6 linked regions of the Neurospora crassa OR74A genome follow. The protein of the gene in region 1 purifies or fractionates together with the protein of each later gene. This does not show direct contact. Links are inferred from orthologs where the notes say so. Each region holds a gene or a part of one and is shown in the gene's direction. Other genes may lie near its edges. The genes, in order: NCU02539, NCU00133, NCU04548, NCU09552, NCU01164 and NCU07870.

Region 1 (4,793 bases):
CTCCTGTTTTCTGCTAACCCATCACTTGTTGGCTTTTCGTGTCTTTTTGCTTCGCCTTTGGCTCATTACTCTGCCATAAAAAGGCTCGCCAAACAAAAGGGCCTGATACCTTTTTACGAACCAATGCGCCAACTTTACCTTGGTTGCTCCCATCCGCCACACTCCTTCCCTTGTCATTACCCACCCGCACATGCCCTTAGAGACCCTGACGAAGCCAGTCAGTAAGCTTAGCCTTGCCTAGTTGTGCCAAGTTGTTGACACCCTGCTCGGTGAAGGGGTCGAGGCGGCTGAGGTTGACATCGGCAGGCGGCGCCTTGCTGCATCGTTGAATGATGATGGTGGGATCGGTCTCGAGAACAACGCCGTCATCCACGATTTCGTCGATAGCGAGGGATACCAGATCGTAGTTTTCGACTATCGTGCGCTTGTCGATCGATTGCCTGAGTAGAAAGTCCGTGGTTAGCCAAATCATGTCCCATGACCGGCACCTTCACGTTCGCCATAAATACTCACTTGAAGAGCATATGCAAGCTGTCCCTAAGCGCCAAAAGTACGTTGTAGAGCAGAACTTCGTTCTCGTCCGCGCTACCAACGACGTAGATAGCAACGTCCGACTCCATCTTGTAAAGCACCACCTTGTTGTCGTAGAGGAGGATATCGCCCGTCTGCTTAGCTGTCTTCTGAAGGAGGCCCTTCTCGAAACGGGTTTGAGAAGTCTTGTCGGGATAGGGGTTCTGGGAAGCGCTCGAGGAAGCTGTTGTGCACAAGGTTCGGGCTGGTCAGCCTTACGGGAACATGCGACACCGAATAAGGGGTAAAAGGAGCGTCTATTGCGTACCGAGTCCGGCGGCCACTCCTGTTCCTGGTGCGCCAGCGGCAGCGTGAGGAGGAGTGTAGTATTTTGAGAATATCCGCGAACCGTCATCGCTGGAGAGGATTACTGTTGGAACGCAATTGTCAACATTGCTCGACGTGGCGCGTATAAGCCAGGACCCAGGAGCAGCGTGGTGCCTAGTGTACCTATAGCGTTGACGCTATACAGCGACATTCCTGGCGACATCTTGACTGGTTATCTGGGGGTTCTTGTTTCTTGATCAATTGCTGTCTCGAGACTGGTATCGGTTGGAGAAGGTCGGCGACGAGGGGCAACTCGACTTCAATGGGCGCAAGTGGGTAGGTATATAGTGGTTAGCTTGAACTCCAGAGGTGCTGCGTAGGTAGGTAGTGCTCACAATGACCAGGGGCAGGCGGTATCGTTGGTTACCGTGGTGAGCGTGGGTATTGTGGGGTGAAGCGGTCCCTGTGATGTGGCTTGAATCCAGAGCGAACACTCCAAGCGAGGCCCCACGGCGCGGTACGTACCTTACGTACCTGACAGTTCGCACTCAAGAGCAGCACTGCAGTGGCCTCGTCCGTCTCATTTGGGTATGACAGGGGTTTTAATGGGTCAACGCGAGTAAGCCCCCGCAGACACGAACGGCCGTGTAAAGTGCTTTTATCAGAGACGCGTGTGTCGCGACTGTCTTTTTTTTCGATAGGAACGTGATCCACCTTGCCCGTCCTGAACACGCTGCCGACCTGCCAACCACCTCGCAATTACAGAGGGATCGGGAGCCGCCACAACAACACTCCAGCGTCTCCATCCCAACCTGCCCGTCTTCTGTCCCTTCTTGTTGGTTTAGTTTCCATACTTTGTATTATCTCAACAAAACCACCGAGGACAGAGTAGTAAACATGTCTTCCCCAGCAAAGCGCAGAACAACGAGAAGCTCCCAATCAGCTACTCCCCGCACTACTCGCAGCTCGCAGGCTGGTCCTTCGAGCGCAACTCCTCGCCAGACACGCGCATCACAGCTTGCCTCTAGTCCCTTATTCTACGAGCCCTCCTCGCCTGCCAATGGCGCCGCCCCGGTATCTTCTCCCTTGAGGCAGATGAGCAATACCCAGAGCACTGCCCACCAAGGCAATGCGCCGAGCTCGCCTTTGCGCCAGCAGACAGAGACCCAGAGCGATGCTGACCGAACTCCTCGCGCAAACGGACGGAGCCAGTTAATTGGGGGTATGGCTGTCAACCAAAAAAAAAAAAAAAAGGACTACACTGAATGCTGACCACACTCCGCAGACTCCTCTCCCATCCGCTATGCCTCCAGTTCTAGCCCGGGCCGTCAGCTTACTCAACAGTCCGATCTTCGTAGCGAAAGCAGTCAGCTCTTCGTCAGCTCGCAAAGGTCCGTTGCCGGTCGATCCCGTCGAGGCGACATCAACGGGGACCCTCTTCGTACTCCCGCCCAGATTCCCCGCCGAATCATCCTCGACGACGCCGGTCGTGTGATCCGCGATGCCCCTGGCTCCGATGCCAACTCGTTTGTCACCAATAACCCCAATACCTCTGAGGCAGATGCCCTTGGTGGACAAAGCCAAGGTCTTGTTTGGGGTACAACAATTTCTCTTGACGATTCGTTCTCCGCGTTCAAGGACTTTCTCAGGAACTTCACCAGGAAATACCGGATGTGGGCAGATGGCGCGGACGAGGCCGAGACTATTGGCCATCCGGATGCGGATTCGAAGCCATATTGGGAGGCACTGGAGAATATGCTGCTGCTTGGTACCAACAAGCTGTATCTGGATCTCCGCGACCTCAAGTCCTACCCGCGCACCTTGAAGTTATGGCATCAGGCCCAACACTATCCTACCGAAATCATCCCGGTCATGGATCAATGCGTACATGACTGTATGATGGAGTTGGCGCAAAAGGAAATGGCCAGCCAAAGAGCATCCCAAAACTCTAGGACCGCTCCAGGTGCCTCACAAAGCTCGGAGCCGAACTTCCCAAGCTCTGAAAGGAGCGAGGAACCGCCCACCCCGCGGCCTGCCCAAACAGCGGCGCCCACAATTGAGGACCAAGTCAGCCAGATGGCGTATGTGGTTCGCCCGTGGGGTCTTGACAAGATCACCAACCTCCGTGACCTCAACCCATCTGACATGGACAAGCTTGTGTCCATCAAGGGTCTTGTCATCAGAACCACGCCGGTCATCCCCGACATGAAGGATGCATTTTTCAAGTGCAGTGTTTGTGGTCATTCTATAACCGTTCAGTTAGATCGTGGCAAGATTCGTGAGCCTACAGAGTGTCCTCGGGCTCGCTGCGCCTCCAAGAACTCAATGCAGATCATCCACAACAGATGTGCTTTCGAAGACAAGCAAGTCATCAAGCTGCAAGAAACTCCGGATAACGTGCCTGCTGGTCAGACACCCCACTCGGTATCCGTTTGCGTCTATAACGAGCTTGTGGACTTTTGCAAGGCCGGTGACAGAGTTGAGCTCACTGGTATCTTTAAAGTCACCCCCGTTCGTGTCAACCCGCGCATGAGGACGGTCAAGAGCGTGCACAAGACATATGTTGATGTTGTCCATGTACAAAAGGTCGACCGCAAGAGGATGGGTTCTGATCCCTCGACCCTCGACCTTGCCGAGGAGGAGGAAGCCCATGCTAATGGCCAGAGCATGGACGAAGTCCGAAAGGTCTCTCCTGATGAGGAAGAGAGGATCAAGGAAACTGCCGCTCGACCGGATATCTACGATCTCCTTTCACGTTCTTTGGCTCCATCAATTTACGAGATGGATGATGTGAAGAAGGGTATTCTTCTTCAACTGTTCGGAGGCACGAACAAGACCTTTGAGAAGGGTGGAAGCCCCAAATACCGTGGAGACATCAACGTTCTCCTCTGTGGTGACCCATCCACTTCCAAGTCCCAGCTTCTCTCCTATGTTCACAGAATCGCCCCAAGAGGTGTGTACACGAGTGGTAAAGGTTCTTCTGCCGTAGGTCTTACCGCCTATGTTACCCGCGATCCCGAGTCCCGCCAACTCGTTCTAGAGTCCGGTGCTCTCGTCTTATCCGACGGCGGTGTCTGTTGTATCGACGAGTTCGACAAGATGAACGAATCGACCCGCTCCGTTCTTCACGAAGTCATGGAACAACAGACCGTGTCCGTCGCCAAGGCCGGCATCATCACCACTCTCAATGCCCGAACATCAATCCTGGCGTCTGCCAACCCCATTGGTAGTAGATACAACCCTGATCTATCAGTGCCGCAAAATATTGACCTCCCGCCAACCCTTCTATCCCGTTTCGATCTGGTCTACCTCATCCTCGATCGTGTTGATGAGAAGAATGATCAGCGTCTGGCCCGCCATTTGCTCTCCATGTATCTCGAAGACAAGCCCGAGAGTGCCCAGCAGGCCAACGACGTCCTTGTGAGTTTTTCCCCGTCTGTCAATCCACACGAAGATGAACCCCAAACTAACCAACTCCCCCTCAAAAAAACAGCCCGTCGAGTTTCTAACCTCCTACATCTCCTACGCCCGCTCGCACATCCACCCGGCCCTCACGCCCGAAGCCGGTCGCGAGCTCGTCGATGCCTACGTCGAGATGCGCAAGCTGGGCCAAGACGTGCGCGCCGCCGAGAAGCGCATTACGGCCACCACACGTCAGCTCGAGTCCATGATTCGCTTAGCCGAGGCGCACGCAAAGATGCGTTTATCTCAAACCGTCACGCGCGACGACGTCCGCGAGGCCGTGCGCCTCATCAAGTCGGCGCTCAAGACCGCCGCCACCGACAGCCAGGGCCGCATCGACATGAGCTTGTTGACAGAGGGCACGAGCGCGGCGGAGCGCCAGCGCAAGGCCGACATGAAGGATGCGGTTATCCGCCTGCTGGATGAGATGACCAGCGGCGGACAGGTAGTTAGGTACTCGGAGGTGGCGAGACGGTTGGGCGAGGGGGCGGGTG
Region 2 (4,828 bases), on another chromosome or scaffold:
GATGGATCATCGACGTCCTTTCGTCGGGAGAAAACGAGAGCGTCGAGCTATGGTACCATGGCAAAGGTACCCGCAGGAAAGCAGCCAATGGTGAGGCATGGGAGATATCTGCATTGGCAACATTTGGTCAGATGATCTATACTCCTAGCAAAATGGAGATAGTGATCGGAATTTCCTGAGAGTCAGTATCGCTGGACAGGTTCCTACATTGAGAAGGCGGTGGGTTGAAGATGACTTGCGCCGCCTGTGTAGTGGTTTGCGGAAACTGGATGATGTAACGATTGCGGCCGCATTGGCAGCCACCACGGAGGGGACGCTCGAAGCTCATCTTTGAAAAGGTGTAGAAACAACAAGGCAACAAGAGTGATTGATGGTGGAAAGATTGATTCAAGCTTCGTTGGGATCCTTGGGGGGCCAAGTAAGTGTGCAAGTCGGAAGTTCGGTATACTAATAGCTCCAGCTAAGGTTCAATTGAAGCAGGCAAACAAACGGCCCAGGCAACAAAGGAGAGCTTCGTTCTGTTTGAATAAAGAAACCGAGCGAAATATGACGATCAGGGCAGACGAGTGACGGAAGGAAGTCGAGGCGGGGCAGCTTGAGCGGGTGTGCGGGATGCCACCAGTTCAAGCATGTAATACGTCAATCGTGGGGTGGCGTATAAGTGCCCCTCGTGGTCTCCAGGTCAAGGCCGCAGGCAGGAACGTCTACGACGGGAATTGTCACCTTCGGTGAGCGAGTCTTCCGCCCTTGTGAAACAGCCAATGGGCACAACAAGAACGAACTAACTTGAGAGTTATGTTTGTGTTCAAGGGAAGAAAAAGAAAGAGATCAAGAAGTGGTACAAGGCAGAGAACATTACCACTTAAGGTGACTAAGTACCTCTAATACAATCCCATGTCATGAAACAGGCGCGGAAGATATCATATGCAACCACTTAAAGCTCCACGCGCTAGCCCCACATGCTTTTTGGGGGGTTGACGATATTGGGAATCGCGCCCATGTCCATGAACCGAAGCTATGTTGAGTTTGTTTAGTAGATTGAGAGTGGCAACCCAAGTGGCATATTTGGAACCAGTTGAAAGCTTCAAAATGCTCTGACCAAACAAGGAACGCTTGTCGCGAGGGGACACTTTTCCCACGTAACGAAGCGACTCGCTTGGAACGTCCTCTTTCCCTCCCGTGTTCAACGGGCCGAGCACTAGCGGAACGAATACAAGCAAGAAGGAGCGAGATACAAAGAATTCAAATGTGAAAAAACCACCCAACATAATTGTTGATCCGTAACTACAAGAGAATGGAAGGTGTTGTGTTACTGTAGATCGCGACAGATTGGAGGACAAGAGGACGCAGTTTCTTTTAGACATTCAAGATGATACAAACAGTGAATGACTCTCAGAGCGACAAGAAGGCCTGTGTGTCGTTGGCAAAGCTTCCTTGGAAGGTGACAACTGAATAAAGTGGTGGTGTTCTTGCAGGCTTGGGAGAGAAATCAGAAGCTCACAGTTGCCACGCGCTACAACCAAGCTGTTGCCCACTGCGTAGACCCTACACGTACAGTAGTACTGCGACTTGCCACCTGCCACCAGCATGGGTCGTCGCCTAGCCCAGCGGAATGCCACCTGCCAGCCGAATTAACCTTCAATTAACGAACTGGCCTAGTCGCGACACGGTCAACTTTCTCCGAGGCACGCGAACCTTCAGTTGGATTGTTCATCAGTATTTGCTTGCAACACTTTGCAATCACTGCCACAACATCAGACGCCATTTCCAACTTGTCCATCAACCCCAACTCACCATTAAACCAGTTGGATAGAGGGGCAATATGGCTGCCATGTAAGTCGCATACCTTTCTGGATTTCATGCTTTCGCGCGCTCTTGCTCGTCTAACCCTGCGACGACGGATGTGCCCCGCTCCATCTACGCCGTAGGGCACGGCTTTCACCGGCGGAGATCACAGCTCAGTGCCATTTCTAATACCTTCATTTACAGCGAGAGTTTTGACAATATCTACTTGGATCTGTCCAAGGAGAGCGGAAAGTCGAGATTCGCGGAAAATGGCTTGGGATGGAAACCTGCGGGTGGCGGCGAAGCGTTCACTCTCGACTCGAGCAACATCGGCGGTGCTCAATGGAGCAGGGCGGCGAGGGGCTATGAGGTTAAAATCCTATTGCGAAGCTCTGGCGTAGTTCAGCTCGATGGTTTCCACCAAGAAGTACGAAACCTATCCACGCGCCATCGAAGCGAAGGAACGCTGACGTGTTGCCACAGGATTACGAGCGCCTTAGCAAGATCTTCAAGAACTGGTACAGCGTGAACCTCGAGAACAAGGAACACTCTCTGAGAGGATGGAACTGGGGCAAGGCTGAGTTTAGCAAAGCCGAGCTCACTTTCAACGTCCAAAACCGACCGGCCTTTGAGATTCCTTACTCCGAGATTTCCAATACAAATCTTGCCGGAAGGAACGAAATCGCAGTCGAGTTCGCCGGCAACGATGGCGGCAAGTCGAACGGTCACAGCGGAACAGGCGGAAAGGGCAAGAAGGCGTCGGCCGGCAAGGATCAGCTGGTCGAGGTGCGCTTCTACATCCCTGGAACGACAACACGAAAGGAGGCCGAGGGTGGTGAGGCTGGTAGCGACGCCGATGAAGAAGAGAAGAACGCCGTGACTCTGTTCTACGACACCCTTATTGAGAAGGCCGAGATTGGTGAGACGGCGGGTGATACTATCGCTACATTCCTCGATGTGCTACATCTCACGCCCAGGTACGTGGAAACTGCACGCTGGTTGTTGATCCTTTTCCGGTGCTAACTCTCCCGATAGAGGACGTTTCGACATCGACATGTACGATGCCTCCTTCCGTCTCCGTGGCAAAACATACGACTACAAGATCCAATACGATGCTATCAAGAAATTTATGGTGCTTCCCAAGCCGGACGATCTCCATTTCTTGCTTTGCATTGGTCTCGACCCGCCCCTTCGTCAAGGTCAAACACGTTATCCATTTGTGGTGATGCAGTTCAAGGCGGACGAAGAGGTGACTCTTGACCTGAACATCACCGAGGAGGAACTCAACGGAAAATACAAGGACAAGCTTCAGAGCCACTACGAGCAACCACTTCATCAGGTTGTGGCGTACATTTTCAAGGGACTTGCGAACAAGAAAGTCACTACACCAGCCAAGGACTTTACAACGTGAGTTATATCTGTTCATTTCATAGCCAGCAACGGTACTGACCTAGGAACCCGCAGGCACCGTCAGCAGTACGGCATCAAGTGCTCTATCAAAGCCAGTGAAGGATTCCTCTACTGCTTGGAGAAGGCGTTTATGTTTGTCCCCAAGCCGGCCACGTACATCTCATACGAACAGACACAGTCCATCACGTTTTCACGCGTGGGCGGTGCGGTCTCGGCATTGTCGACGTTCGACATTACAGTCCACATGAAAAACGGCGCGGGCTCATCCCAATTCAGCAACATTAACCGTGAAGACTTGAAGGCTCTCGAGGAATTTTTCAAGCTCAAAGGACTGCGTGTCAAGAACGAAATTGATGATGACACCAACCTTATTGCCGCCGCCTTGGGCGATGACGACATGGCTAGCTCGGACGAAGAGGCCGTCGGCCCCAAGGCTGATCGTGGCTCCGCTGACGAGGATGAGGAGAGCGTGGATGAGGACTTCCAGGCTGAGTCCGAAAGCGACGTGGCGGAGGAATACGACAGCAACCATGAGAGTGATGGGTCGGGCAGCGAGGAGAGCGACGTCGACAATCGGGTCGATGATGAGGATGAGGATATGGATGATGACGAGGGAGAGAAGCGCCCCAAGAAGAAGAAGAAGACGGCTTAGGTTTATTTTTCATGTTGGCGCGTCGTTACTTGTTTGATTAAAAAGGCAGATCACAGGCTGGAAGGCAGGCAGGCAGCTGGGTATTTGGGGCGTTCCGGTACTTTCGTGACACGAATATGTGTTAATTCTGTATTTTCTCTACCATATATCGATACGATACTTGGGGCGTCAAAGACGACATTCCCAACGGCAGTGTCAAACTAGTATCTCGATGTTCCCTCAACTTGGGCGCGCAATGGAGCTAATGAACACTGAAGAGCGGCAGGCAGATGGTCAGCTACCTAGTTGATCCGTTATGGTTCTTTTTTTTCCCCTTCGACTACAACGAACATAAGACATCGGCACATCCTTTGAGACTTCGCTTCTTCTTCAGGGCCGCAGGATGGATAGAGGCCGTACTCCAAAAGTACGGCATGGAATGTATCAGCCTGCAGGGCGTGCAGGCGGTTGAGGTGGGTATCGCTCTAGCGGTCAAAAATCTACCTACCTGGTAGGTAGGTACCTACCTCTATGCGTTCCCGCTCTGTCTACACTACACTAGGATGCACATTCCTTCTAGTGTACATAGTGGTGCCCTGCGTGGCCCGGTGGGCACTTCGGTTGATGCGGAGCGGTCCCTGCTGAGTGCGCTTCGGCAGACTTCCATTCAGCTGGGCGGGCTTTAATTCGGCTCCAAAGTTAAGCCCCACCAAGGCGGTGGGTATGACCCATTTCCGCGTTCCTCCTCCTCCCTTTGTTTTCTGTCGACCAGTCCAGAAGCCATTGATTGGTGCCAATCATCAGCTCACGGCCTCTCCTTGGTGCTGTATCGGACAGCCACACCTGCACCGTGATAAATTTATTCTCACTCGTCCTGGTATTTTTTGAGACCTGATACCGCGCCCAAAGGAAGCATCTGCCTGTTTCGATCTTCACGTCCCGGAGCAGGGAAAAACAAAAGTACCCGATTAGCACCGCAAAGGAGATTTACAGTAATGGAAG
Region 3 (4,604 bases), on another chromosome or scaffold:
CCTGCTTCTTCGTATAGACCGCCACCACCCTCTGCATCTTCTCCTTCTCCTTCCTCCTCTGCCACTGGCAGTACTCGTACTGCGCCATCGCCCCCACGATCCCGCACCCTACACCCCAGTTGGCCGCTTTCGGGATGGGCAGGCCCATGATCCACCGCAACACACCGATGCCTGCGCCGGCGCCGATGCCTGTCATGAAGCCTTGGCGGGCGCAGGGCGTTTCGTGCACGGAGAGGAAGTCGGAGGGGGAGATGGTGGAGGCGACTTCGGTGAGGGAGATGCGGTTGGATGAGTGGGTGGTGGGTTTTTGTTGTTTTTGTTGTTGTTGGGAGGGTTGTTGCTGTTGTTGCTGGCCTGGGACTACTTGTGGTGTGGTGTTGTTGGACTGTGGTGGTTGTTGTTGGAGGTCTTGAGAGGGCGCAAATGGAGCAGGAGGGGGAGGGGGAGAGCCGCCGCTGCCGCCGCTTAGCCAGGAGCGGGCGGCGGCGTCGGGGTTTGTGGGTGTTGTTGTTGTTGTTGTTGATGATGTTGTTTGGTCACGCGTCATGGTTGCGGTTTGCGATGATTGTTGATGGGACGGGCTTCAGTTTCTCTCGTGTTCCGTCTCGAAAATGCGCAGTTCTGTCAGGGCGCAGAGAAAAGTGTGGAGTTGTGCGTGTATGGTAGTTGTGTGAATATATGTGGAAGTCGCTGGTTGTTATTCGCTTGCTGGGATTGCAGTGTTTGAATGGCAGTCACGATATGTATCGGTAAGGTGATGGTGAGTTGAAGTGACGGATTGAGCAGGGAAACGAAGAAAGTGGAATTGGCCAATGGAGACTGCTCATTGACGTTCTCTCCGTCGTCTTCCGCACGGCGGCCGAAGGTGTCGCGGGGAAGCTTTTTTTTTTCTTCCTGGTGGGGACCTTGCGGGATTACGGGGAAGATGCAGGTACTTTAACGCACTTACATGGGGAACATTAGGCGAGCTACCGTAGAGATTCAGCTTCCAATTGTCATCAGAACTTCCGTCTAACAAACACAAGTTAGTAACATCAGTTACACTTCCGCCCTCAGATTCGGAGCCGGCTACGGGACGAGCTCGTACAATGCCCGACCTTCTTAGGTAGAGGTAGCTTTGACTTGGAGATCCAATGGACGGCAACTTGGACGGAGACAACAATGGAAGGTCCAAGCTCCCGTCCCTCCCGATCGGGCCGCTTCATGATTCGAGCATGCCCGCCCCGGCGGAGGGGCCGTGTCCCGAGCTGAGGTAGGTGGAGGGAGCGTCTGCCGGCGGGCAGCCCACTTCCCCACCGCTCCAATCCTTGTTCAGCGCCTTGACGCCCTGTGAGTGCCCTGAAACGATCAGCTTGACTAGTGGGCAATGTGTGCGTTTAGCGCCCGGCGCGTCAGACAAATTGGACCGTCTACCGTACGTAGTCGCGTCTGGCGCGTCTCCCAGTTAAACGACTTTAATGGGTTCCTGAGACTTTCCAAACATTGAAGTGCCTGCCTCCCATCTCACAACCCCATTCTCTTCACCAAACCAAGGGACCCTGTGCCAGCCATACCTCGAATCTTGGCTGGCCCTCCATGTCAACCTACTTGTGAAAAAGACATATTCCTGTTTCTTGTCTCTCCTTCCATTTCCATCCGACTTTTCTTGGATCGAGAGATCCTACCGAACAGGACGGAAAACGGAGGGCAGACCAAAGCACAAGACGAACATCTCGGGGCCTACGCAAGGGCCAATCCAATTCTTCGAATATGCCCAACACTTCTCTAAGGCGACAGCCTCAAAAGGGCTACCGTCGCGGTGGCAAGAACGCCTACCATGGCGGATCCAAAACACGAACGTTCGCTGCCTCGGCCAGCGCCCGCGGCGAGGCTACCTCGACAGACGAAAAATGGGAAAGGACAGCCCTTGCGAACCAGATCGACGAGAACATGGGCTTTGCCCGATACGATGCCGGGAAGAAGCGCGAAGGCTGGCTGGTCAACGTACAACCGACATCCATCGACGACCCCCGTATCCCCGGCGGCGGCGGTCGCGCGGCACTCGACTGCTACTTCATCGAAGAGGACGGGTCAACATTCAAAGCCACAGTCGAATATGAGCCATACTTTCTGGTCGCATGTCGAAAAGGTCACGAAGGCGAGGTCGAGGAGTGGTGCAAGAGAGTGCCTGGTGGCGGCTGCGTCAAGTCCATCCGGCGGGTCGAGAAGGAAGATCTCAAGATGCCCAACCACTTGCTGGGCTATCGTCGAACATTCTTGGAGCTGAGGTTTCATAACGTGCAGGACTTGATGTCCGCCAAGCGCGATGTCATGCCCATTGCGGAAAAGAACAAAAAGGGCATGGATGCCATGGATACATATGCCGAAGTAGCATCGTGGGTTCCTCTCATGTTATCTGTACAGGCTGATCACCGCTGCTGACACATACCCCCCCAATTAGAGCGAACGGCGGGTTTGATCTTTTTGATGACGATTCACGAAATGACGAGCGACGACATAATGCTGGTTTTGCAGAGGCGAGCGATTTCATTGTTGATATCCGGGAATACGACGTCCCATACCATGTGAGAGTAATGATAGACTTGGGTCAGTTCTCCTTGCACACTCCCCAGCGTGTGTGCTTAGCTGACCATCCACAGACATACGAGTTGCTAGATGGTATCATGTCGAGGCCAAGAATGGAGTCACGACAGTAAAAGTAAACGAGGAACGTTTGGCCATGGCCGATCCCGTCGTAATGGCTTTCGATATCGAGACCACCAAGTTGCCCCTCAAGTTTCCCGACGCCGCTATTGACCAGATCATGATGGTCTCATACATGATCGATGGCCAGGGTTTCTTGATCACAAATAGAGAGATTATCTCCGAAGACATTGCTGATTTCGACTACACACCAAAACCCGAGTACCAAGGTCCGTTTATGATCTTCAACGAACCTGACGAAAAGGCCCTTCTCGAAAGATTCTTCCTGCACATCAAGGAGGCCCGACCAACCGTCATCGCCACCTACAACGGTGACTTCTTCGATTGGCCTTTCGTGGAGGCTCGTGCCAGTATCAACGGCATCGACATGTACCACGAGATCGGCTGGAAGAAGGACAGTGAGGATCAGTACAAGTGCAACTACAGTGTGCACATGGACTGCTTTCACTGGGTAAACCGTGACAGTTATCTCCCCCAGGGTAGTAGAGGTCTCAAAGCCGTCACCGTTGCCAAGCTTGGATACGATCCCGATGAACTCGATCCTGAGCTTATGACACCATATGCCAGCGAGAGGCCGCAGACGCTGGCCGAATACTCCGTCTCCGATGCCGTCGCAACATACTATCTGTACATGAAATATGTGCATCCTTTCATCTTCTCTCTCTGTACCATCTTGCCGCTAGGCCCAGACGATACACTAAGAAAGGGAACCGGTACGCTATGCGAGATGTTATTAATGGTACAGGCTTACCAAAAGGAGATTGTGTTACCCAATAAACATGTCCAGCCTAAGGAGTCCTTCTGGGAAGGACACTTGTTGGACTCCGAAACGTACGTTGGTGGTCACGTCGAAAGTATCGAAGCTGGCGTCTTCCGCGCCGATATTCCCGTCAACTTCGCGGTTGACCCTACCGCCGTGGATGAGCTGATTCGGGATCTTGATGCAGCCCTAACGTTCAGTATTACGGTTGAAGAGAAGAAGGAGTTGAGTGATATCGCCAACTACGACGAGGTCAAGGAGCAGATAACGGCCAGGTTGATGAACCTCAAAGAGACGCCCAATCGACTGGAACGGCCGCTCATTTACCATCTTGATGTCGCCTCCATGTACCCCAACATTATGACAACCAACCGATTACAACCCGATTCCATGATCTCCGAGTCAACTTGTGCAGCATGCGACTTCAACCGCCCAGGAAAGACTTGTGACAGAAGACTACCGTGGGCCTGGAGAGGAGAGTACCTGCCAGCCAAGCGCGACGAGTACAACATGATTCGCCATGCACTCGAGAACGAGAGGTTTCCAGGAAAATACCCAAACAGCCCGATGCGGTCATTCCAAGACCTGAGCGCAGACGAACAAGCCACTCTCATCCGAAAGAGACTGCAGCTCTACTCACAAAAGGTGTACCACAAGATCCACGATTCCACCACGATTGTCAGAGAAGCGATCATTTGCCAGCGCGAGAACCCCTTCTACATCAACACAGTCCGTGACTTCCGTGACCGACGATACGACTACAAGGGCAAGGCGAAGGTGTGGAAGGGCAAGACGGATTCGCTCAAGAGCTCGGGCGCATCCGCGTCCGAAATCGATAATGCCAAAAAGATGATTATCTTGTTCGATTCCCTGCAGTTGGCCCACAAGGTCATTCTCAACAGTTTCTACGGATACGTCATGAGAAAGGGATCTAGATGGTACTCGATGGAAATGGCCGGTGTCACCTGTTTGACGGGCGCAACCATTATCCAGTTGGCGAGACAGCTCATTGAGCGACTGGGTCGTCCACTCGAGCTAGACACTGATGGTATCTGGTGCATGTTGCCGGCGACATTCCCAGAGAACTTTGTGTTCAAACTCAAAAATGGCAAGAAAATGACCATCTCGTACCCATGTGTCA
Region 4 (4,590 bases), on another chromosome or scaffold:
CTGATGATCTCGACTCCCTTCTGAACGGGCACGGGGTTCATGAAGTGCGTGGACACGACGCGCGAGCTGTTGGAGGTGTCGTTGGGGTCCTTGGTGGTTGAGGCGGCGATGCGCGTGATGGAGATGGAAGAGGTGTTGGTGGCTAAGATGGCGTGCTTAGGGCAGATCTCGGCCAGCTTGGAGAAGATGTCGAACTTGAGCTTGGGAATCTCAGGCACAGCTTCAATCACAAAATCGACGCTGTCCAGGTCCTCGAGGATGGTGGTGGGCTGGAGGAGCGCGCGGGCGGCGTCCGCCTCATCCTGAGTGATGCGTTGCTTGGCCACATCCTTGCTGAGGAGCTTGTCGGCGAATGCAAGGCCCTTGTCTAGAGACGTTTCAGAGGCATCCACAAGGGTGACGGGGACTCTGGCCTTGGTGGCGGCGACGAGGGCGATGCCCAGGCCCTAAAGGAGAAGGAGGACAAGTCAGCCGTTGCCGTTGTTGAAGACATGGGCATGAATGATATGGGCCGGACTCACCATCTGGCCGGCGCCAACGACACCGAGCCTCTTGACCTCGGCAGCGTTGCGGGCGCATGTCGAGCTGAAGGCGCGAGCGCCCATGGGCAGCTTCTGGACGAGGGTTCTAGCAAGCATTTTGCGAGATCGTCACGGCGAAAGTAAACAAAGCAGACACTGTGACTGAGAGAGACTGAAAGGAAAGGGACAGAAAAATCGGAAGACTACACCTAGGTAGGCAACCAGGGCACCTCTAGAGAATGCGAATGCGACGATGTGAAGTTGTCGGATTCGGTTAACCTCGGCCGTCCTCGTCTCCAACTCGACGTCACAAGCCCGACCCGGGCCACGGGGGGGACATAACATACTGCCGTACAGGAGCTACGGGCGGCTCTAGCCTTTTCTTAGGCGGGGAAAATGGGGTCGGTTTTAGCGCGTATGGAGTACTATGTACGCTACCTAGAGGTACAAGCATGTCGTTCAGGGGGGGCAATTGCGGGCATGATTCCCGCGCCAACTCAAGATCCTCGGCTGTCGTTGATTGCCCGTCCACAGGGGTAACTCCGCAGCTCTCCACGAGGTCGAAATCGGGGTGCACAGGTACTGCTGCAGAGGTATCTCTAGTAGGTAGCTAGGTACATTAGGTACCTACTTACCCAGGTATCTTAAAACAGTCCGACAAAACGCTTGGGGAGATAAGCAGGCCAAGACCAAGATACCACCAATTTCCATTAAAAAGTACGACACGGTCGGCGCGTCTCCCACCACCACAAACGCGTGTCCCGTCCCGACAAAGTGCGCCCGACCAATGCCACCATCCATGCGATAACAAAACGACCTCCAAGACAAGCTGAGAGTTGGGGAGAGTCTGTCTAGTACTCGTATGACTCCGTTCTGGTCTTGGACGCCGTGATTTCTGCGCAAAATGGAGGCCGCAGACATCAACGACGATGTCGTCCATCCGGAAGTGCGGGCGCACATCACCAACCTGGTTTCTGCGGTATGTCCACTTCTGGACTCGTTATATACACGGATGTACTGACTCTGGCGACCCGAATAGCTCGGTGGTTACAGCGCGGACGATGATGGAAGCTACAAGCTCGGTGACGAAGCGCTAGACGTCTTGCGCGACCTGAAGAAATGGATCCGATTCTACGATGAAAAGACCAATCGCATGGACGTCGCCAGATGTCTGGCTGAAGCGAACCTCGTCGGCGGCGATCTGCTCCAGATCCTGACATTATGGCCTCAAAGCGAAACCGACAGCAAGTACAAGGCCCGTATTGCTCTGGCGTGTTTCGAGGTCATGGTGCCCCTTACTTGGCCCATAGAGAAGGAGCGCGCCGAAATGACCATCAACCACCATCGTCACATGCCCGTTCTGCAGCTTGCCCAGCTTGGCTACAAGCGCGCCATCATAAACTTCGATGCGATACCCATCCTCAACACCGCCGTCAGGGTAGCCCTTCCCTCCATGGCCATGCCTATCGGCGAGCGGACACCCCGTGACCAGGCCATCATCAAGCTCATTCTCTTCTTTTTGAGGAACGTTGCCATGATCGCACCCCCGCAAGGTGTCAAATGCGAAGGCGACGAGACACAGGTATCCAGGTCGGCAACCATTGATGCCTTTTCGTATCAAGACATATTTCTCACTCTGCTGACCCTTGCCTCCAACATGGGCGAGGACTTCCGCACCGAAGATGTAGTTATCATGGAAATCATCTTTCATCTTGTAAAAAGAGTTGACCCCAGCTCGCTCTTCGTCAGTGAAAAGCAACTCAACAAAGCCAAGGGGCAAGAGCTGGCATCGGAGATGCGCAAGGAGGCTGCTATGCTAAAATCCTACAACAAAACCACCACCACTCGGCACAGTCGATTTGGGACCATGATCTGGGTGAAACGAGCAGATGGCAAGATGGTGACGGTATCTGGCCAAGAGGCTCTTTTGGACGCAAAAACGCGAGAGAGGAAGATGGATAACTCCAAAACATTCAGACCGCCAAGAAGAGCGAGGAAACCCGAGATGGAGCCCAAGGACCTTGGCCCTCCGGTGACGCTAGATGAAAGAGCTCGTCAGCAGCTGCGATCATTCGTCCAAGACTTCCTCGACTCCGGTTTCAACCCCTTGTTTCTGCACGTGAGGCAATCGATCGATCGGGAGGCATTGCATGCATTGAACCAGCATAAGAGCCAGTTCTTTTACCTTGTCGCCTGGTTCCTCGAAGCCGAGCGGATGCGGAGAAAGGCCAAGAGGGACGAGTCGAAGTCGACGTCCGCAGCCGGAGAGGAGGTGAACAGTTTTAACCTCGTTGCTGCTGTGCTCCAACAGGAAATGTTCGCTTCCATGAATCGTGCGCTTGACCGGTCCTATAGTGATAAGGATTGGCAACTGCTCACGTCCGTCATGCGCTGTTACACCCAGATCTTCCTCACAGTCCAGGAGATGTCAGAGTCTCCCAACGAGGAAGACCAGGAGATTGCCGAAAACACCCTGAGCCGTCTCTTTTACGAGGAGACAACCCACGACCTTATCGCGAATATTGCTCGAACATACAAGGATCAAGGCTTCGAATATCTTGATGCCGCGACCGAGCTTGTCCACACTTTCCTCCGCATTTTAGAAGGTTACTCTAAGCAAAATGTCGATTTGCAGGTGCGCTCACGGAAGCGAGCTCGCCGAAAGAAGAAGGCTGCCAAAGCTGCTGCTGCTGTTGCTGCAGCTAGAGCCGCCGGTGAGGAAGCAGAAGACGTTGGCGTTCCCGAGGACAATGATGCCGATGATTCTGGGGACGATGAGCAACATGCAGAGCGGGTCACTCAGGAGCGCAAGTTCGAGTTTGGGAAATTCGCCATTCGATTCGCTCCCCAGGGTGTTGTCGACACATTTGTCGCCTTCACCAAATTCTACCGGGATTTGAACGACGCACAGCTGAAGCGCGCTCATCGCTACTTCTACCGCGTTGCCTTCAAACTCGAGCTGAGCATCATGCTATTCCGACTAGACATCATCAATCTCTTTTACAACATGGTCCAAGGTCCCGAGCCCCTCGACAAAAGCTCGCCGATGTTCAAGGAATGGGAGGAGCTCTCCAAGCAGATCATTCGGAAATGTGTCAAAAAGCTTCAAGAGCGGCCTGCGTTGTTCACCGAGTTGCTCTTTTCCAAGATTGGCAGCACGACGCACTTCCTTGAGCACGGCTATGAGAAGCCTGTCACCACAACTACGCCACGACCTGGTGCCGAGCTGGAGTTCAAGCGAGCCACAGAGCGCGACGAGCAGATTGGCATTGCGGTCAGCGTACTCATCGACAAACAGCAAGTCGAGCATCTGCAGTGGCTCAAGGATCAGCTGACAAGTGCAATGAGTGAGCGGCAAGCATGGGAGAACGTAGACAAGGCCATGGCAGCCACTACCGAGGGGGCGGCTGATGGTGAAGCTGCCGACGAGAGATCCAACAAATCAGCACCACCACATATCACGATCCGCCCTGATACCGAGGCTCGCCGCACAGCCATGTTCAAGAACCCGCACCTCCGTCTTCTCATGCGTCTAGTCGGTATGGAGCGTCTCACGCCTACTCTCGACGAGACCCCCGACTCGACCTGGATTCTCCCAGGCAGCCACACCGCCGAGGCGATCCAAGATACCATCGACCTCATCAACAAGGCCGAGTTCTCCCCTCCCACCTTTGAGGACGGCGGCTCAGCCGAAGACCAGCTCCGGCGCAAGTCCGCCGCCGCTTCTCGCAGGACGCGTGCCGCATATGACGATGATGAGGAAGAAATTCGCGGATTCCTCGGTGACGATGACGACGAAGACTTTCTCTTTGCGCCCGGCGGTCCTACCGCTCGCAAGCCGGACGCTAGGCCGCAGAAGAAGCGTCAGCGCAAGCGCCGAAGAGAGGCTGGTAGTGGAGACGAGGAAGATGAGGGGGTGTCGGATGAAGTGTTGGCTGCGCGTGCGAAGAAGAGGAGGGAGAAGGAGCTGGAGAAGATTAGGAAGATCAAGAGTGAGATGTACGTGCACGCAAGCGACGATGAAACGGACGATGAGAGGGATCGGGAGTTCTTTGAGCGGGAGAGAAAG
Region 5 (4,754 bases), on another chromosome or scaffold:
GACGTATAGGTGTGTTTGACAGGCAAAGTAGTGACGCAGTGAGGAGAGGGAGATGTTGTCCAAAAAGGACAGGAATTTTCGACGAAGCAAGGTAAAATGAAAACTGAAAGAAGAGATAACGACCGTTGAACAAGCAGAGGTAGGAAGAAAAAGCTGGATTGGATCTTGAACAAAGATGAACACAACAAATACTTACCAGCCCAGTTGACCTGGTTGCTCGGAGCCGGAAGAGACTTGAAAGCGTGCCAGAGAAGGGCAGCGCAGTTGGACAAATTGCTATTTTTTAAAGAGTACATTAGCACTACAATGAGGATCTTGTACGTTCCATCTGTTGTTTTCAGGACGGACCATCCCGAGAAGGGGCTGTAGGGTACATGTGGGAGCCAACGTCGACTTACCAAACCTAACGAATGTCAATCATTCAGGTCACCTTTTTAGACATTGTCCCTTCCTGATGTGGTGGTGCAAGCAGGCTTGGTTCCTCATCTTACCCAGTTCCTCTGCTCATAGAACAGACCTTCAGCTTGGTCAAGAACCTGCTGGTAGGCCTCTTCCTTGGTGACGTTGGCAGCAAAGTTGGAAGCGTCGGCGTGAACCTATAAGACGAATACCGTGTTAGTCTCAACCGTCCTCAAGTTTGGAGAAGCCTGTAGTTCGTAGGTAGGTATGCGCGATGAGGTCTTCAACTGTCTCGAAACAAAGGATTGGACTGATTGAAACTGTTCACGAACCATTTTGACGTATTATTATGACCCTGTTCTTTCTATGTACAAATCTTGAAAATCGACCTAGAGTGGTGGTGTTGGACACCGAGGAAGCGAACTTCAACTTTTGAAATTTGTCATTCACTTCTGAATCCGGGGAAGTGGGGCCAAATGGCACTGCTCCGGTCGGGTCCGTGCGGAACTGCCGCCGTACCGGCAGCCGATGGGCCGGCCCCGAGTGGCCTCCGGTGGATTCACGGTTTCGATCCCAAAGAGGACCGGACTGAATCACCAGCCGGATAAAGGAATCCAAGATAATTGTGCGGATACTTACTAGATGGTGTGGGAGGCTCGTCCTCGCTTCATACTGGGCAGGATACAGCTCAAGGGCCCTTCTCGGAAGTTGTGCTGATGGCAGCTTGTCTTCTATTAGTGATCTGGACCTTATGATGTGCTGTCTAAGTTACCCGAACCAAGGTCCAGAAGATGCCCAAATGGTTGTCGAGACGGCAGCGGGAACTACTTATTTTTGCAGTACAGCAGCTCGCTTTGCAGTGAACGTCAAATCACGGACAAGTGATTGGTTCGATGGGCACAGTTCGTCGTCTTCCACCATTCAGTAAAGTTTCCCGTCGGGCAGATGTTAGCCAATTTTTCCATCTCATGGCGGTATCTTCCAGAATGCCGATCTATCAAGTATAGATGTGAAACATCACAGGTTTTCCGAGCGGCATCTTGGACATTGCTCTTTGCACTTGTACGCGGTGTCTGGGCCCGTCGAGTCTATTCTTGAAGATAGTGTTGCTGTCGTTTCGCACAGTGATTGCCATCACTCGTTCATTTATTCATTCAGGTTGACATGGGTATCAGCTCTAGGTTGATCGCTGCTGAGGACGTTCTTTGCGTCGAAGTAAAGAAAGGTGAGTTCTGGTTAGTACGTCTACTAGTATTTAAATGGAAGAAGTTCGGCACCCCAGAGCTTCCATCGCTTGCCAAGACTTAGTTTAATCGTACCTGTGCATTGGAAACTTAGCTCCACCCCTCCCGTCCCTCTGTTTCCATTCCACGCCCTGTCCCGCCTGTCCCTCTTTCATCTCCATGCACTCGCTGCAGGGCACCTAAAGAAAGAGGTACAAGTTCGACTTACAAAGTTAACAGAATCGCAAGTTGTTGGAAGTCCCGACGACACCATTTACGCTCGTCTATTTCCATCATTCATCAATATACTTCTCTACGATTCCCATACTACAGACCTTTCAGGAATATCACCATTGCCGTGGCAACCAGCATATATAGTTGCCTCAGGCACAGAACAGAACCTCTTAGGCATCCTAACGCGAAGGCAGTGGACAGGGGCGCCAAGAGCTGTGGCCCGTGACGTGAGCGACGCGCGACACGGGAATTTTTGTGTCTTTGGCCTGGAACCGGATCCCGGCTGGCAAGCACTGTAAAGTACTAGCAGTGCCGGCTGGAGAGGTGTGGTAGCCTTGTTTCTGTCATCTTGAAGGGTGTCTGCCGCCACCGTCAGTACCAGAGCAAGCAGCCCCTCGCCAAAAGCACGACTTCACCCAAACCCAAACCTCTGCTGATTTGATTGTTTCTGCCATCTTCAATCGCGCGCCGCTGTGCCGTCGCTCATCATGGCAGACATCAAAATCGACAGCAAGGTCTTCCAGGAGCGCGTCTCGCACTTCTACAATGCCTGGAAGGCCGACAAGCGCTCCGGAGACGCTCTCTTCGGTGGCGTCTCTTCCATCGTCATCCTGATGGGCAAGGTCGACGAGAACCCCGAGTTTCACAAGAACAACGCTATCCATGTGAGTTTTGCCCTCTGGAGAGCCCGCTCGGCGTGCGCTGGCTGTACGTCTGGCGGGCCATTCCAGTCAAATGACAGCTGCTGATAGCTCTACGTAAAGTTCTGGCTGCTAGGTTACGAGTTCCCGACGACCCTCATGCTGTTTACCCTCGACACCATCTACATTCTCACCACCCAAAAGAAAGGTTCGCCCGGTATTCCCGACCCAAGAACGCGGACAAACTATCTGACACGTTAATAGCCAAGTACCTCGACCAAGTGAAGGGCGGCAGATACCCCGTTGAGGTCCTCGTGCGGGGGAAGGACGCCGCCGAGAACGAGAAGCTTTTCATCAAAATTACGGATGCCATCAAGGCTGCGGGCGTAAGTTACATCCCATCCTGGGCGCACATCAACATCTCGGTGCGGTTCTAACACATTTTCGCTCGTTATAGAAGAAGGTTGGCGTCCTTACCAAGGACACCTCCAAGGGCCCCTTTATCGACGAATGGAAGAAGGTCTATGCCGATAACTGCAAGGATGTGGAGGAGGTTGACGTTGCCCAGGCTCTGTCTGCTGGCGCCTTCTCCGTCAAGGATGAGACCGAGCTTCGTGCCATGCGGACCTCGTCCAAGGCTTGCGTCGCCCTCCTGACCCCTTACTTCCTCGACGAAATGTCCAATATCCTCGACCAAGATAAGAAGATCAAGCACAGCGCACTAGCCGATAAGGTCTTCAACAAACTGGAAGACGATAAGTTTTGGAAGACCGTCGAGCTGCCCAACCGACAGAAGCTCCCGGCTGACCTCGATCCCGAGCAGCTGGACTGGATTCTGGGACCGATCGTCCAAAGTGGTGGCAAATTTGACCTGAAGTGGCAGGCTGATTCTGACAATGATATACTCCACCCGGGAATTATCATCGCGGCTATGGGTCTCAGATACAAGTCCTATTGCTCCCAAATCGCCAGAACTTTCATGGTCGATCCCAACAAGTCCCAAGAAAGCAACTACAAGTTCCTACTTGCTGTCCACAACCTCATTCTCAAGGAGATCCGGGATGGTGCCATTGTCAAGGATGTTTACACCAAGGCCTACAACTTTGTGCGGTCCAAAAAGCCCGATCTTGAGAAGCACTTTCTTAAGAACGTCGGCTTTGGAATCGGCCTGGAGAACAAGGACCCGACCTTGATTCTCAACAACAAGAACACCCGTACCCTTAAGGATGGCATGACACTGGTTGTGACCACCGGCTTCAGTGATATCCAGAACCCCAACCCCCAAGACAAGAACAGCAAGGTCTATTCCTTGATCCTTTCCGATACGATCCGTGTCACTAGCTCCGAGCCGGTGGTGTTTACTGGCGAGGCGCCTGTCGATGTTGATGCCACCTCGTTCTTCTTCAAAGATGAGGAAGAAGCACAGCCCACACCGAAAAAGGAGAAGCGGGACTCTAGGGTGGGTGCCGTTGCAACCAAGAACATCACTAGCACTCGTCTACGCTCTGAGCGTAATACAACGGTAGATGAGGACGCGGACAAGAGACGTCGCGAGCATCAGAAGGAACTCGCGCAGAAGAAACAGAAGGAAGGCTTGGCCAAATACGCCGAATCTACCGCTGATGAGAATGGCGTCGAAATCAAAAAGTTCAAGCGCTTCGAATCTTACAAGCGGGATAATCAATTCCCGCCCAAGGTTAAGGATATGGGCATCGTTATTGATCAAAAGAACGCGACCATAGTACTGCCTGTTATGGGCAGGCCGGTACCCTTCCATATCAACACCATCAAGAACGCAAGCAAGAGTGACGAGGGCGAGTGGTCATTCTTGAGAATCAACTTCCTATCTCCTGGCCAGGGTGTGGGTCGGAAGGATGAGCAGCCCTTCGAAGATGCATCTGCGCACTTCGTCAGGAGCTTGACTTTCAAATCAACCGATGGCGATAGGTATGCTGACATTGCAAACCAAATCTCGAACCTCAAACGAGACGCTGTCAAGAAGGAGCAGGAGAAGAAGGATATGGAGGACGTAGTTGAGCAGGACAAGCTCGTTGAAATCAGAAGTAAGTCGCTTTCCCGGATCAATTGTATTGCAACATACTAATTAACTATCAGACCGTCGGCCCGCCGTATTGGATAATGTCTTCATCCGGCCGGCCATGGAGGGCAAGCGTGTGCCTGGTAAGGTGGAAATTCACCAGAACGGTATTCGCTACCAGTCACCTCTCAGCACAACGCAACGCGTGGATATCCTCTT
Region 6 (4,590 bases), on another chromosome or scaffold:
TACCCAAAGTCAGGAGCCTTCCAAAGGAACAAACCAATTCCTCGTCGATCATGAGGTTGGCCTTCTTCCATTGACGCTGTACATCCTCCCATATTTGCAAGCCCCTGTTGATGGCCTCTTGTTTCTCCCGGTTGATATCTTCTTGGTCGCGCTGCATGGGATCCCGATCGAGTGGCAGTCGTGGGTTGAATTGGGCCCGAAGGGCATTGAAGATGATTGTATAGGTCAGGTTGTCGGGCTTGCGCGTGCTTTCGTTGGCTGTTTGTACTGTCGTGAACATGCTGTCCAAATCGCCGGCGCGGGCACATGTCTCGAGGACAGCGTTAAGATGAATTGTGGTTGGCTTCACGCGCTCATTCCTGAGCAAGCTGTGGTAGATCTTGACGGCTTCTGCAACTGCCTGCTTGGGGTGCTCGCTCATGGCGCAGCCTCGGAAGATGATGGTGTAAGTCCTGGCATCTGGAACCTGGGCGCGCTTCTTCATCTCGTTGTAGATCTTGATGGCGGCAGACAGACGCTTGTTCTTCATGTGGTAGTCGATCAGATGGTTCCACGAGACTTGGACCTTTGCGTTCTTGCTGGCCTTGCGGGTGAGAACAAGGGCCTCTTCATATTTTCCTTTGTCAAGGGTCAACTTGACCTGCTTCTCGATGTGGAAGGGATCCTTGAAGTGCTTTAGTTGTAAAGCCGCACTGCGCTCCAGCTTCTTCCGCTGCTCGTCGCTCAGGTCCCTCTTCTTCCTCTTCCCTTCCGACCCGTCTCCATCTTCTTCCCCTTCCGGCGCTTCGAGATCGAGGGTAACGGAGGGATCGGCGGCAGTCTTTGGCTTGAGGGCGGGCAAGTGGTAGGATCGTATGGTGGTCGTGGACTGGCTTGGTGTAAGTGCGCCTAACCTTGGAAGGGCCAGACGAGATCCAACTGCAGGCGCATTTATCCTAGCCAAAGCTCCAGGAGCCAGGCCTTTCCGCAGACAAGCCCGGCACACAAACATGGTTTGCGGACAACCGAGTTTGCCCTTGATTGTTTTGAATCTTTTTCTTCTGCGAGGTACGGGCCGAGGTACCTGTGTTGCTAATGGTCGGTTGGTGGGGTATCTGGATCGTCGAGTTTCCTGTGACGATTTCCTGTTGTTCTAGACAACTTTGAGAATTGGGCGATGTGGTATCAAAGCTATGGCCCGGGAAGAAATCGATATTTGGTATTTTGCTGCGGCGGGCGCACAACTGCCCTGGACTCTGGACGGAGGATGATGCTGAGATGGAGACCGTGAATGATGGCCAAAAGTTAGGATGACATTCCGAAATTTTGGAGACTGATCTACAAAAATGCCTGCCGCGGCCTTTTGCACTTGTGGAGACGCGGTGGGTCGGGGGTCGGCATCAGGTACACTGACAGGGGCCCCGTTGCTGAAAGGTACGTACACTATGTACGTGGGCCACTACGTTGCTTTCCTTAGGTATCCGCTTAGGCCAAAGCAGCAGAACTGCCCCACCTCTTAAACACGACCGTGACGGGGACAAGGGTTCGCGCTTACAGTTTACAGTAAAGTACGCGACGAGTAACGAAACTAAACGCGACTTTCTTTTTGTTACTGGAGGGGACCAATTGAACCCTGTAATCCCACTATATTTCTCTTACGACTCTTGTCACCAACACTACCACATCACGGTGGCCCCGTCGACATTCTCTCCAGAGTGTTGGCCTGGTGCTCCTCTGTTGTCTCGTCACCATCCAATCTCCAATCCTAAAGGCAACATCACAACGGCCTGTCAAAATGTCCAGACGAGTAGCCAAGCGAGACAAGTACGCTGAGCTGCGCGAACTGCGCCAGTCCGGCAAGAAGAAGACCTACGACGTCGGCGAGATCGACGAGCTCTACGAAGAAGTCGACGAGAACCAGTACAAGAAAATCGTCAGAGACCGCTTGAACGAGGACGATTTCGTGGTTGACGACAATGGCGAGGGTTATGCCGACGACGGCCGCGAAGAATGGGACCGTCTCCCCCAGTACCACAGCGACAGCGAGGAGGAATTAGGCCTACCCGGCAGCAAGCCGCGCAAGTGTGAGCAGATCGAGACGCTGAAACCCGACGATGGGAGCAACTTATAAAGCACTCTGGTTCTGGTACTGACCTTCGTTCTCCTCCCTCTTAGCCAAGAAACAAAAGGAACATGAAGATGCGAAACGAGATGCCAACGACAGAGACATCACCGAATACTTCACGAAAGGCGCCGTCAAAGCCCCACCAAAACAAAAGGTCATCAAAACAGAAGAAGATGAAAAGTTCTTGGACGACCTCATCGACCAGGTCACCGCACAAATCCCCGTCCCGGTCACACGAGTATCCAAGAAGCGAGATCGATCAGTCGAGAGGAGAAAGGTCCGGGTGCTCTCCCCGGTACGGGAACCTCGGCCACCCATGGCAAAGAGAGCCAAGACAGTCGATGATCGGGCATCATCCCCAGCAGGAGACGACGACCTTCTACCAGACGACGACTACCTGCCTGCTATGGACGACGAACCTGCACCAGTCTCCGATTATCTTATGAGCGACGCCATCATGCCCTCCTCACCGGCCGCCAAAGTAGCAACACGGAGGACGTTTGGCAGGCCGGAACCCAAAAAGAATGAGGATGATGAGGACGAAGATGAGGACATGATGGAGGTTGCCCATACTGGAGCGGTAACAGCCGCCAGCGTCAACATATCAGCATCCCGTCAAATCAAAAAGATTCTCAAGACAGAGCCCGTCCCGGCCAGTTCGTCACCCGCAAGGGCACCAGCGCCAGAGGTCGACGCTGCTTCCTGGAACGAGATCAATCAGAAGCTCAATGTCGTATCCATGTCACAAAGCGAGGGCAGGAGCGTTGGCAAGATTGACTACAAGGACGCTATCGAAGAAGACGGCAGCTTGAACATGTTCTGGACAGACTACACAGAGGTCAACGGCAGTTTGTGCTTGTTTGGCAAGGTCCTAAACAAAAAGACCAAAACCTACGTCAGCTGCTTTGTCAAGGTTGACAACATTCTCCGGAAGCTTTTCTTCCTGCCGCGCAAGTACCGTGTGCGAGGTGGCGAGGAAACAACAGAAGAGGTGGAAATGATGGACGTCTACAACGAGGTTGATGAAATCATGACCAAGATGAATGTCGGCATGCACAAGATCAAGGCTTGCACCCGCAAGTACGCATTCGAGCTTCCCGACGTTCCCAAGGAGAGCCAGTATTTGAAGCTCCTCTACCCATATACCAAGCCTGCGATGGAACCCACCCACAAAGGCGAAACCTTCTCCCACGTCTTTGGTACCAATACCGCTCTGTTCGAGCAGTTTGTGCTCTGGAAGAACATCATGGGCCCCTGCTGGCTCAAGATCGAGGATGCAGACTTCACTTCCTTGAGGAATGCTTCGCACTGCAAGCTGGAGGTCCTGGTAGAACATCCCAACATGGTGTCGGTCCCGGATAACGCCGAGAGTATTGAGCCTCCTCCTTTGACGTTGTTAAGCCTGGCTATGCGCACAGCGTTCAACCCTAAGGATAATAAGCAGGAGATTCTCGCGGTTAGCGGGAGAGTCTACCTTGATGTGTCGCTCAGTGACACCACTCCCCCAGACAAGCTTGCTTCTCGTAGTTTCACCGCTGTTAGACCTTACGGTAGCGCATTTCCTATCGGCTTCGAGACGCTTGCCAAGGAAAGAAACAGAGGTGTGCTCAAGCTCTTCAAGCAGGAACACGAGATCTTGAATTTCTTGCTCGCACAGATCGATGTTGTCGATCCAGACGTTATCCTTGGCCACCAGCTAGAAGGTGTTGACTACAGCATCTTGCTGAACCGGCTGCACGAGAAAAAGACACATCAATGGTCTCGTTTGGGCAGACTCAGGCGCTCTCAGTGGCCCTCGTCCATTGTTAAGATGGGTGGCAATGTATTTGCCGAACGTCAGATAATGTCTGGCCGTCTGCTATGCGATCTTGCTAACGATGCCGGTAAATCAGTAATGACCAAGTGCCAGACCTGGTCCTTGACCGAGATGTGCAGTCTGTATCTGGGAGGCGAAAGTCGTAGGAGGGATATCGACAACGAAGTCGCCCTGAAGACGTGGGCTAACGCTGACAAACATGGTTTGATGGACTACATCTCCCACGCCGAGACTGACACTTACTTCATCGCGGCTCTTGCACTCAGGACTCAAATTCTTCCTCTTACCAAGGTTCTCACCAACCTGGCTGGTAACTCGTGGGCAAGAACACTTACCGGTACGCGTGCTGAGCGGAACGAGTACATTTTGCTTCACGAATTCCACCGCAACAAATATGTCGTCCCGGACAAGCAGACCTTCAAGGGTCGGCAACGCATCGAGGAGGAAAACGCAGAAGAGGAAGGCGGAGAAGGAGGAAAGAAGAAGGACAAATACAAGGGTGGTTTGGTTTTCGAGCCAGAAAAGGGTCTTTATGACAAGTTCGTTCTCGTCATGGACTTCAACTCCCTTTACCCTTCCATCATCCAAGAGTACAACATTTGCTTTACCACAGTTGATCGAACATCACTGGTAAGTCAGGGTCCTTCCTCCGTTGACGTCACAAGCTAAT

What was found.
Region 2: the proteins of NCU02539 (region 1) and NCU00133 purify together in Saccharomyces cerevisiae (affinity purification with western blotting; 6 studies listed by BioGRID, with this or other methods). This does not show direct contact. The link is inferred for Neurospora crassa OR74A from reciprocal best matches to the Saccharomyces cerevisiae genes MCM4 and POB3.
Region 3: the proteins of NCU02539 (region 1) and NCU04548 purify together in Saccharomyces cerevisiae (affinity purification with western blotting; 3 studies listed by BioGRID, with this or other methods). This does not show direct contact. The link is inferred for Neurospora crassa OR74A from reciprocal best matches to the Saccharomyces cerevisiae genes MCM4 and POL2.
Region 4: the proteins of NCU02539 (region 1) and NCU09552 purify together in Saccharomyces cerevisiae (affinity purification with mass spectrometry, with the first as the bait; 3 studies listed by BioGRID). This does not show direct contact. The link is inferred for Neurospora crassa OR74A from reciprocal best matches to the Saccharomyces cerevisiae genes MCM4 and TOF1.
Region 5: the proteins of NCU02539 (region 1) and NCU01164 purify together in Saccharomyces cerevisiae (affinity purification with mass spectrometry; 4 studies listed by BioGRID, with this or other methods). This does not show direct contact. The link is inferred for Neurospora crassa OR74A from reciprocal best matches to the Saccharomyces cerevisiae genes MCM4 and SPT16.
Region 6: the proteins of NCU02539 (region 1) and NCU07870 purify together in Saccharomyces cerevisiae (affinity purification with western blotting; 7 studies listed by BioGRID, with this or other methods). This does not show direct contact. The link is inferred for Neurospora crassa OR74A from reciprocal best matches to the Saccharomyces cerevisiae genes MCM4 and POL1.

What each region holds. Positions count from the first base shown.
Region 1 is NC_026501.1:2,663,988-2,668,780, forward strand, and holds the start of NCU02539 (cell division control protein 54), read left to right. Parts: upstream 1-1,524; 5' UTR 1,525-1,734; coding exon 1,735-2,059; intron 2,060-2,122; coding exon 2,123-4,257; intron 4,258-4,330; coding exon 4,331-4,793. Other genes in the region: NCU02538 (coatomer zeta subunit), read right to left, coding at 197-440, 514-754, 839-940, 1,021-1,060. UniProt on the Saccharomyces cerevisiae protein: Acts as a component of the MCM2-7 complex (MCM complex) which is the putative replicative helicase essential for 'once per cell cycle' DNA replication initiation and elongation in eukaryotic cells.
Region 2 is NC_026503.1:2,735,999-2,740,826, forward strand, and holds NCU00133 (FACT complex subunit pob-3), read left to right. Parts: upstream 1-1,575; 5' UTR 1,576-1,822; coding exon 1,823-1,833; intron 1,834-1,989; coding exon 1,990-2,212; intron 2,213-2,268; coding exon 2,269-2,762; intron 2,763-2,820; coding exon 2,821-3,192; intron 3,193-3,249; coding exon 3,250-3,847; 3' UTR 3,848-4,111; downstream 4,112-4,828. Other genes in the region: NCU00132 (hypothetical protein), read right to left, coding at 1-108, 208-328. UniProt on the Saccharomyces cerevisiae protein: Component of the FACT complex, a general chromatin factor that acts to reorganize nucleosomes. The FACT complex is involved in multiple processes that require DNA as a template such as mRNA elongation, DNA replication and DNA repair.
Region 3 is NC_026507.1:1,471,273-1,475,876, forward strand, and holds the start of NCU04548 (DNA polymerase epsilon), read left to right. Parts: upstream 1-1,489; 5' UTR 1,490-1,749; coding exon 1,750-2,375; intron 2,376-2,440; coding exon 2,441-2,586; intron 2,587-2,639; coding exon 2,640-4,604. Other genes in the region: NCU04549 (hypothetical protein), read right to left, coding at 1-547. UniProt on the Saccharomyces cerevisiae protein: Catalytic component of the DNA polymerase epsilon complex which participates in chromosomal DNA replication.
Region 4 is NC_026505.1:4,563,618-4,568,207, reverse strand, and holds the start of NCU09552 (topoisomerase 1-associated factor 1), read left to right. Parts: upstream 1-1,256; 5' UTR 1,257-1,425; coding exon 1,426-1,500; intron 1,501-1,560; coding exon 1,561-4,590. Other genes in the region: NCU09553 (3-hydroxybutyryl CoA dehydrogenase), read right to left, coding at 1-446, 522-638. UniProt on the Saccharomyces cerevisiae protein: Forms a fork protection complex (FPC) with CSM3 and which is required for chromosome segregation during meiosis and DNA damage repair. FPC coordinates leading and lagging strand synthesis and moves with the replication fork.
Region 5 is NC_026505.1:3,095,362-3,100,115, forward strand, and holds the start of NCU01164 (transcription elongation complex subunit), read left to right. Parts: upstream 1-1,781; 5' UTR 1,782-2,344; coding exon 2,345-2,521; intron 2,522-2,620; coding exon 2,621-2,705; intron 2,706-2,761; coding exon 2,762-2,883; intron 2,884-2,954; coding exon 2,955-4,560; intron 4,561-4,612; coding exon 4,613-4,754. Other genes in the region: NCU01163 (GAF domain nucleotide-binding protein), read right to left, coding at 197-276, 399-403, 492-596, 732-734. UniProt on the Saccharomyces cerevisiae protein: Component of the FACT complex, a general chromatin factor that acts to reorganize nucleosomes. The FACT complex is involved in multiple processes that require DNA as a template such as mRNA elongation, DNA replication and DNA repair.
Region 6 is NC_026503.1:1,182,231-1,186,820, reverse strand, and holds the start of NCU07870 (DNA polymerase alpha catalytic subunit), read left to right. Parts: upstream 1-1,599; 5' UTR 1,600-1,774; coding exon 1,775-2,063; intron 2,064-2,154; coding exon 2,155-4,550; intron 4,551-4,590. Other genes in the region: NCU07871 (hypothetical protein), read right to left, coding at 1-991. UniProt on the Saccharomyces cerevisiae protein: Catalytic component of DNA polymerase alpha, which in complex with DNA primase (DNA polymerase alpha:primase) constitutes a replicative polymerase. POL1 has a role in promoting telomere replication during interaction with CDC13.